Oryctolagus cuniculus: one gene and its partner. The protein of the gene in region 2 binds, or shares a complex with, the protein of the main gene of each other region. Links are inferred from orthologs where the notes say so. Each region holds a gene or a part of one and is shown on either strand. Other genes may lie near its edges.

Region 1 (3,823 bases), on a different chromosome or scaffold from region 2:
CTTGGGCCCTGCACCCCATGGGAGACCAGGAGAAGCACCTGGCTCCTGGCTCCTGCCTTCGGATAGGCGCGGTGCGCCGGCCGCAGCACACTGGCCGCAGCGGCCATTGGAGGGTGAACCAACGGCAAAAGGAAGACCTTTCTCTCTCTCTCTCTCTCACTGTCCACTCTGTTAAAAATAAATAAATAAATAATTACTCTATGAAGGGGAGAGGGAGGAGGAACTCTCATGTTACTAGGAATTTCTGAAGGACATATGTGGTCTGAAGGACCACACATGTTGGTAGGAGCATAAATCGCTTCAATTAAAGAAGGAAACAGTTGGAAAAACCATAGACATTTGATGCTTTTCAAAACAATTTTGATAAACTGTACAGACAAACAATCATCAGGGTGTATGGCACATCTACCAAATACTAAATTCTGACAAAGCAGTTATATGGAAATGTTACCCAAACAGAATGTGGTAAGTATGTGGTCCATAGCAGCCTGTTTTGTGCTGACACCTGATACAAGAAGGGGGCCCAAGGCCTGTTTACCTCTAGAAGCCATATCCAGTCATACCTTGAGCACATGGTACCAGACTGAGGTGCCACCAAAGTCAATGTGAAAGTCTGTATAACTATCTCGCACACTCATGAGGCAATACTTCTGCACATTGGGTCTCTCAAAGACACAGTCCTCTGGCCACAAGTTCTCGACCCATGACAGTTTTCGAACAATCTTGGGTGTCTCCACAAGGTTAGAAAGCCTAGCAAGTAAGAGAGAGTGAAAGTAGATGTCAGCTGATCAGGGATTGGAGCCTGAATAAAATACCCTGCATCTCAGTCAGATCAAATAAGACGGAAAACAAGTTCATTCCATAGAATCCCCAAAGGCACATAGGATACTTATTTCTGTAATTCTGGTCAGCATTCTCATTCCATTCAGCTCCAGAAGTCCCAAGTTCCAGCTGCACAGCCTTCCCCAGTGGAAGGTGGTCATTTTCTCTACTAAATGCTCATCATACTCACCCTCCAATACCAGTCTACTCACTTGGCCCTTGATTTATAAGTTATTGTGCTGTCCTCACCTCATAGTGTCTTCTTTATGAGAAACCATTAGGGAAACCTCTCAGGGCTTAGTTACAGGTAAAGAAGTGTTTTTCTGAAACATCCGGTTGTTTTTATCCTATGTAAAACCACAAATCTTAAAAACGTTGCATTCTCCTTTATTCTGACCTTCAGGAAATTCAGTGAAAACTCTATAATACATCTCTATCAATTATCAAAACATTCATTATATACATTTTATGTGCAGAGTACCCACCAGATGCATCCTACTTCAATACCTGAAATTTCTTTTGTCCTAATTATCTTTTTTTTACCTCACTGCATTCTCTGTAAGCTACCTCAAATCATCTTTCAGAAGTGAGGCATAAAGAAACAGTTTTTAAACATCTTCAGGTTGTTTAGCCTAGTATTTTAAAAACAAAAGCAAGGGTTTTAATATTGTACTATAATAATGTAAGATGTTACTATGTGGAACACTGGAAGAAGACACATGACCAACTTCCTGGGAATATCTAATTATTTCAAAACTAAAAGTCAAAAAATGTAAATGAGCATACAGCAAGCTTCCTAAGAGCAAAAAGACATGTGATTTCTTGGTATTTCCCTCAGTTCTGAGCACTGAGAAGACTATTTATCTATTGAGTGTGGAAGTCTAGACAGAATCATTTAAATGTTATGATACAGCCTTTTCCTTTTCTTTTTCAATCCAAATGCTTATCCTTAGACAACCTACTTGGTAAATTTAGTAAATTTAGACAAAGGACTTATCCTGGTAGTCAAAACAGTGACCATGCCACAATCTAAATAACAGAAAAAGGTCAAAGAAAGCTGCCCTAGATCTTGAAGGTGATAAAAATAAATTAAAATAGCTACTGTGTAATTTATCCAATGTTAGAAATTATACAGAAGAAATATTATGACTTGGTTGTTATAATGAAAGCTGCTACCCTAGAAACTGTAACTCGGCTCCCCATCTCAAAGGAAGAAACCACAAAGAGGAAGGGAGAAGAACACAGAAAAGATACTCAGTATATCATAAGTTCTAGACAATTCGTCATGCTTTTTTGTTACCCCTGCCCCTCCTACCTGGTGTCAGAGAATTCCAAACTAATGACATTGAGGACTTTCTCCCTCTTCCCACTGTAATAGTACTTCACAAAATCACCAAGCTTCATCTTGCAGTCAGCCTGGCGGGTCACATCAATCACATCGATCTCTTTGTCAGAACCTGAAGTAAAGAGACAAGTTCTGCTCCAGGTGGTCTTGAGAAAACTCTCAGTCCCTTACCAGTCCATAGAATGGCTTTTTGCTCAAGGCTTCTCTCCTCAGACATTGTATGTACAGGTATTGTGTGGGTTTGGGGAGCAGGAGCAAGAATCCATCATACTTTTGTGGTAGGTCCAGTATTGCTAGAGTTACAGAACTACCTGACTCACAGCCTCACACAAAGTACAGTCACCTGCTAGGGTCAGCCGTGTTAATCAATTTTTCTCCTCCTCTCCCCCCAAAACTCAACTGGTATGTAAGGGTAAAAGTCAAAGGCATTGGGGCTAGCGCTGTGGCACATGCAGTGCTGGCATCCTATATGGGCACCAGCTGGAGTCCTGGCTGCTCCACTTCCAATCAGCTCTTTGCTATGGCCTGGGAAAGCAGCAGAAGATGGCCCAAGTCACTGGGCTCCTGCACCCTCATGGGAGACCCAGAAGAAGCTCCTGGCTCCTGGTTTTGGATTGGTGCAGTTCTGGCCATTGTAGCCAACTGGGGAGTGAACCAGTGGATGGAAGACTTCTCTTTCTCTGCCTCTCCATCTCTCTCTGTGTAATTCTGACTTTCAAATAAATAAATACATCTTTAAAAAAAAAGTCAAAGGCATTATCATCTCAGTAGAGGACAAGAGGACAGAGAGACTAAGATCCCTAGAATTTCCCTGATAAAAAGATGCAGCTCCATATAGGGCTATGTAGTCTATTAAGAGGAAAAGGAAGAAAAGAGTAAGATTTTGGCTCTAGTTTTGCCAAAGAATGACTTCAGGGAAGGTACATCACCTCAGATTCCTAAGATGGCTAGAAAGGAAATGCAAAAAGTAGACTAAAGAGGAAGGGACATGGGTCTTGAAGGGAGTGAACAATGTTACTGCTGAGAGAGTCTGTGGCCTCTTACCAACATAGTGTTCCACATCCCTCACAGTGAATGATGGCGAGGGCAGAGTCATCCCCAACCCATCCTTCTTCAAGACCAGGATGGGCACACTGAAGCTATTCTCTTCCAGGAATTCCACAGTCAGCTGACTTCCAGTGGGCTTCAGGATCACTTCATCTGAGCTGTGGGCCACAGGAGAGAAAGCCTAAGCCTGAGCCCTGCCTATCAAAGGGCTACTACACTCACCACACTCATTCAATGGATGGAGGCTTCCTGAGAGAAGCTAATGTGAGTTAGAAATTAATAGCATAAACTTTATGTGCCAGGGAATAATGACCTGTCCAAGAGGCCAGGTGACCAGAAAAGGTGGGCAAAATCCATTCAACAGGGTGTTCTTCTGTGGTTGACAAAGGAAGAAATCAATCAATAGCCTACCCAGGGAGAAAAAGCATATATGGTAAATCTAGCTAATTTGTTCTAAACCAGAGCAATAGCATCCAATTTAAAACATTGCACAAAAAAAAAATAGGAAATAACTTAAAAGAAAAAAAAAAACAAACAAATTTTATACTTAACTAGAAAATATGGAATTTTTTAAAAATCATGTTGCCAGATCAGTGCATGGTCAAGCAG
Region 2 (3,823 bases):
AATACTTTCTTTTTTGTAGCTTGGTTGCAGAATTGTTGGTCCTCAAGTGGTCATATTTTGTATGCAACACCAGCGATGTGTCCCAAGGGCTGAACATCCAGTTTATAATATGGTTATGTCTGATGTAACTATATCTTGTACAAGCCTGGAAAAAGATAAAAGGGTAGGTGTTAGGAATATCATGATCTGTTTATTATCATACTTAACTTTTCAGTGTAGAAGATACTTTGAAAGACCTTAAACTTAATTTTCATATTTTTAAGAGTTCAACATACAACAGTATAGTATACCTTTTTTCTTAATAAATTGTATATAGTAGAATTCATATTAAGAGTTTTTATGTTTCCCTTCAAAACTGTTTTCCTTCCACAGTTAATAAATCACATTTTCCCACATTAGATGGATTGCCTTAAAAAAATTCTTAGAGCTGTATAAATATATTGATACATAATTTGTATTTTAAAAATATTTATATTTTTAAACTATAAAAAATTGAGCATCCGTAATCTGAAATCTGAAATACCCCAAAATCCCCAATTTTACTGACAAGACACCACAAGTAGAAAATTCCACACTTCACCTCATTTAACAAGTCACAGTTAAAACACAGGTGCACTAAAATTATTGTTTAAAATTACCTTCAGGCTGTATGTATGAGGTGTATATGAAACACCCATCCCCAAGATGTCTCATTTTGTATCTGCAAATATTTCAAAATCTGAAACCAGAAGCACTTCTATACTCACTCTGTATATGTATAGTGTATATGAATATAATCTTTATTACAGAAACAACATAGTTTAATAAACTCAAATAGTTGCGTAAATACAGGAAAGTAATTCATATTTATCTTACTATTTTCTTTTTGGGGCTGCAGGATGAAGTTCATAAATATGCACAAATGATGGGCGGACGAGTATTCAGAGACCTTAATATATCAGTAACTCATCTTATTGCAGGAGAAGTTGGCAGCAAAAAATACTTAGTTGCTGCAAACCTAAAGAAACCTATTTTGCTTCCCTCTTGGATAGAAGCACTTTGGGAGAAGTCACAAGAGAAGTAAGAGATCTTTTCTAGATTGGAAAAAGGGTGCATACTCTGGGTTTTCATAGGGGAGCTTTATTATATCCCCTTTGGATTAGTTATTCAGAGAGAAAATTGGGGCTTATTGAATGAAAACAGAAGAGCAAAATGTATAAGCTCTTATTATCAAGTGTAAATTGACAGGTTGAATGGAGTATGGGTTTAGCATTAGGTACAAGGTAAGAAATCTTTTGATAATAAAGTTAGTTTTTACTACTAAATGCTCCTAAAATAATTGAGAAAATCCATTTGGCAACTCTGTAGCTCTTATGTTGCATTATCCTTAAACACCATTCCTGGATGTTAAGATGGAAAATAAATAGCCATTTTGGCAATGTATACCCCTTAAAAAGGGTATATGTAAAACTGAATATGAACATATGTAAGCTATCAGCTGAGATGTGATCATTTAATAAATGTTAATTGAGCGCATTTTGTGAACCTGGCCCATGTGTTTGATACAAGTGTTGAAAATATACTGCTTTGACCAACAAAGGCTTAATGTTAATGAAATACATATTTTTTTCCCTTGAAACAGTTTTTATTTGAGGTTGTATCTGAAACAATATATTAGAGACTTGGTATTGAGCTGAGTGTCAGTTCAGGACACTGAATTGAGGAAAAGCAGTAGTGGGATTTCTGTTGATTGTCATTACTCTGTAAATTTAAAATTACCTGGCATACTTCATATGATCATTTGTATTTCTTTCTACCATTTGTTTTTCCCAGTAAAATAGCTAGATATACTGATATAAACATGGAAGAATTCAAGTGTCCTATTTTTCTTGGTTGCATAATCTGTGTGACTGGCTTGTGTGGCTTAGACAGGAAGACAGTTCAACAACTGACGGTTAAGCATGGAGGCCAGTACATGGGACAATTGAAAATGAATGAATGTACACACCTCATTGTTCAAGAACCAAAAGGTAAAACTGTGTTTCACAAAGGGACAGATGGCAAGCTTTTCTCTAGTATGTAACGTTTAAAACTATTGCTTCTGACATATTCTTAACCTAGTTTAATATTTTTTTCCCTAAAATCTTGAAAAGATAGTTTGGGTACAGTTTGAGAAAAGATTATATAACCATCTTAGTGTTTCTCCAGGTCATTGATTAAATACAAATAAAACTAAAAGTTTTAAACCTCTTATGATATTTTGTTAAAAAGAAAGAAAAACCACTTCTACAGTTGTCAGGTACTTAAAAGAAGTTTGGGTGAATGACAAGAAAACTGAGAGGTCAAGCCAAATGACACTTCTTTTAATGACTAAAAAACTGACTTTATTTTTAATTGAGTGAATCAACCTGACTGAATGAACTAGAAGTTTTTTTGTTTTTTACTGTGCATGTTTATGGGCTACAATGTGAGAATTTGGTACATGTACAATATATAATCAAATCAAGGTAGCTAACATTTCCGTCTTCTTAGACATTGATTCTTTGTGTTGGGATCCTTCAAAATTGTTGCAGTCACCCCACTGCTGTAGACTAGCACTACTCTTCCTCTATCTGCATTCTGATGCCTGTCTGTTCTCCCTCACTCCCTGCCCTTCACAGCCTCCACTGACCTCTGTTCTGCTCTCTTGTTAGAAAATCAGTGTCTGGGCCGGCGCCGCGGCTCACTAGGCTAATCCTCTGCCTGTGGCACCGGCACCCCGGGTTCTAGTCCCGGTCGGGGCGCCGGATTCTGTCCCGGTTGCCCCTCTTCCAGTCCAGCTCTCTGCTGTGGCCCGGGAAGGCAGGGAGGATGGCCCAAGTGCTTGGGCCCTGTACCCCATGGGAGACCAGGATAAGTACCTGGCTCCTGCCATCAGATCAGCGCAGTGCGCTGGCCGCGGCAGCCATTGGAGGGTGAACGAATGGCAAAGGAAGACCTTTCTCTCTGTCTCTCTCTCTCACTGTCCACTCTGCCTGTCAAAAAAAAAAAAAAAAAAAAAAAAAAAAAAATCAGTGTCTTTAGCATCTACATTACATGAGAACAAGCAATGCTTGTCTTTCTGTCCTGGCTTATTTTACTTAGCATAATGTCCTCTAGTTCCATCTGTGTTGCAGCAAATTGACTAGAAGTTTAAATTGAAGATACACCTTGCAGAACATGAGGCAGTAAAATAAAAAAAATTACTCCAAATATGAATTCTTTAAACTTTTGGCATTCTATAATCTTTGTATCTCTTTTGCAGAATATTTTTTACCAGTACTCATTTTTTTTTAAGTTTTATTTATTTTTTGGAATTTAGAGTTACATAGAGAGGGCAAGACAGAAAGAGAGAGATCTTCCATCAGCTGGTTTACTCCCCAGATGGCCACAACTGCCAGCACTGGGCCAGGCAGGAGCCAGGAGCTTCATCCAGGTCTCCCACATGGATGGCAGGAGCCCAAGCAGTTGGACCACCTTCCACTGCTTTTCCCTGGCCATTGGTGTTGGATTGGAAGTGGGGCAGCTGGGACGTGAACCAGCCCATATGGGATGTCTGCGTCACAGTCTGTGGCTTTTACCTGCTGTGGCATAGTAGGTTAAGACTCCGCCTGCGGCGCTGTCATCCCAGATAGGTGCCGATTTGAGTCCCAGCTGCTCCATTTCTGATGCGGCTCCCTGTTAATTGGAAAGCAGTAGAAGATGGCCTTTGTTTTCACATGGGAGACCTACTTCAGATCAGCCCCACTCTGGCCATTCTAGCCATTTGGGGAATGAACCAAAGGATGGAAGATCTCTCTCTCTCTGTCTCTCGCTCTCTGCCTTT

What was found.
Region 1: the proteins of TOPBP1 (region 2) and PHF8 are in contact, whole or in part, in a crystal structure (PDB 7CMZ), measured with the Homo sapiens proteins. The link is inferred for Oryctolagus cuniculus from reciprocal best matches to the Homo sapiens genes TOPBP1 and PHF8. Residues at the interface, in NP_008958.2 of Homo sapiens: Gln1298, Cys1299, Arg1314, Asn1315, Glu1316, Leu1319, Arg1369, Ser1406, Arg1407, Gly1410, Phe1411, Arg1413, Leu1414, Arg1465, Thr1466, Glu1467, Ala1470, Asp1471, Gln1475, Asn1483, Tyr1484; in NP_001171825.1 of Homo sapiens: Gly842, Ala843, Cys844, Phe845, Asp847, Ala848, Tyr850, Ile851, Tyr852, Pro853, Ser854, Leu855, Glu856.

What each region holds. Positions count from the first base shown.
Region 1 is NC_091453.1:38,056,244-38,060,066, forward strand, and holds part of PHF8 (histone lysine demethylase PHF8), read right to left. Parts: intron 3,373-3,823; coding exon 3,212-3,372; intron 2,280-3,211; coding exon 2,138-2,279; intron 751-2,137; coding exon 564-750; intron 1-563. UniProt on the Homo sapiens protein: Histone lysine demethylase with selectivity for the di- and monomethyl states that plays a key role cell cycle progression, rDNA transcription and brain development.
Region 2 is NC_091435.1:175,324,235-175,328,057, reverse strand, and holds part of TOPBP1 (DNA topoisomerase 2-binding protein 1), read left to right. Parts: intron 1-19; coding exon 20-163; intron 164-877; coding exon 878-1,059; intron 1,060-1,812; coding exon 1,813-2,009; intron 2,010-3,823. UniProt on the Homo sapiens protein: Scaffold protein that acts as a key protein-protein adapter in DNA replication and DNA repair. Composed of multiple BRCT domains, which specifically recognize and bind phosphorylated proteins, bringing proteins together into functional combinations.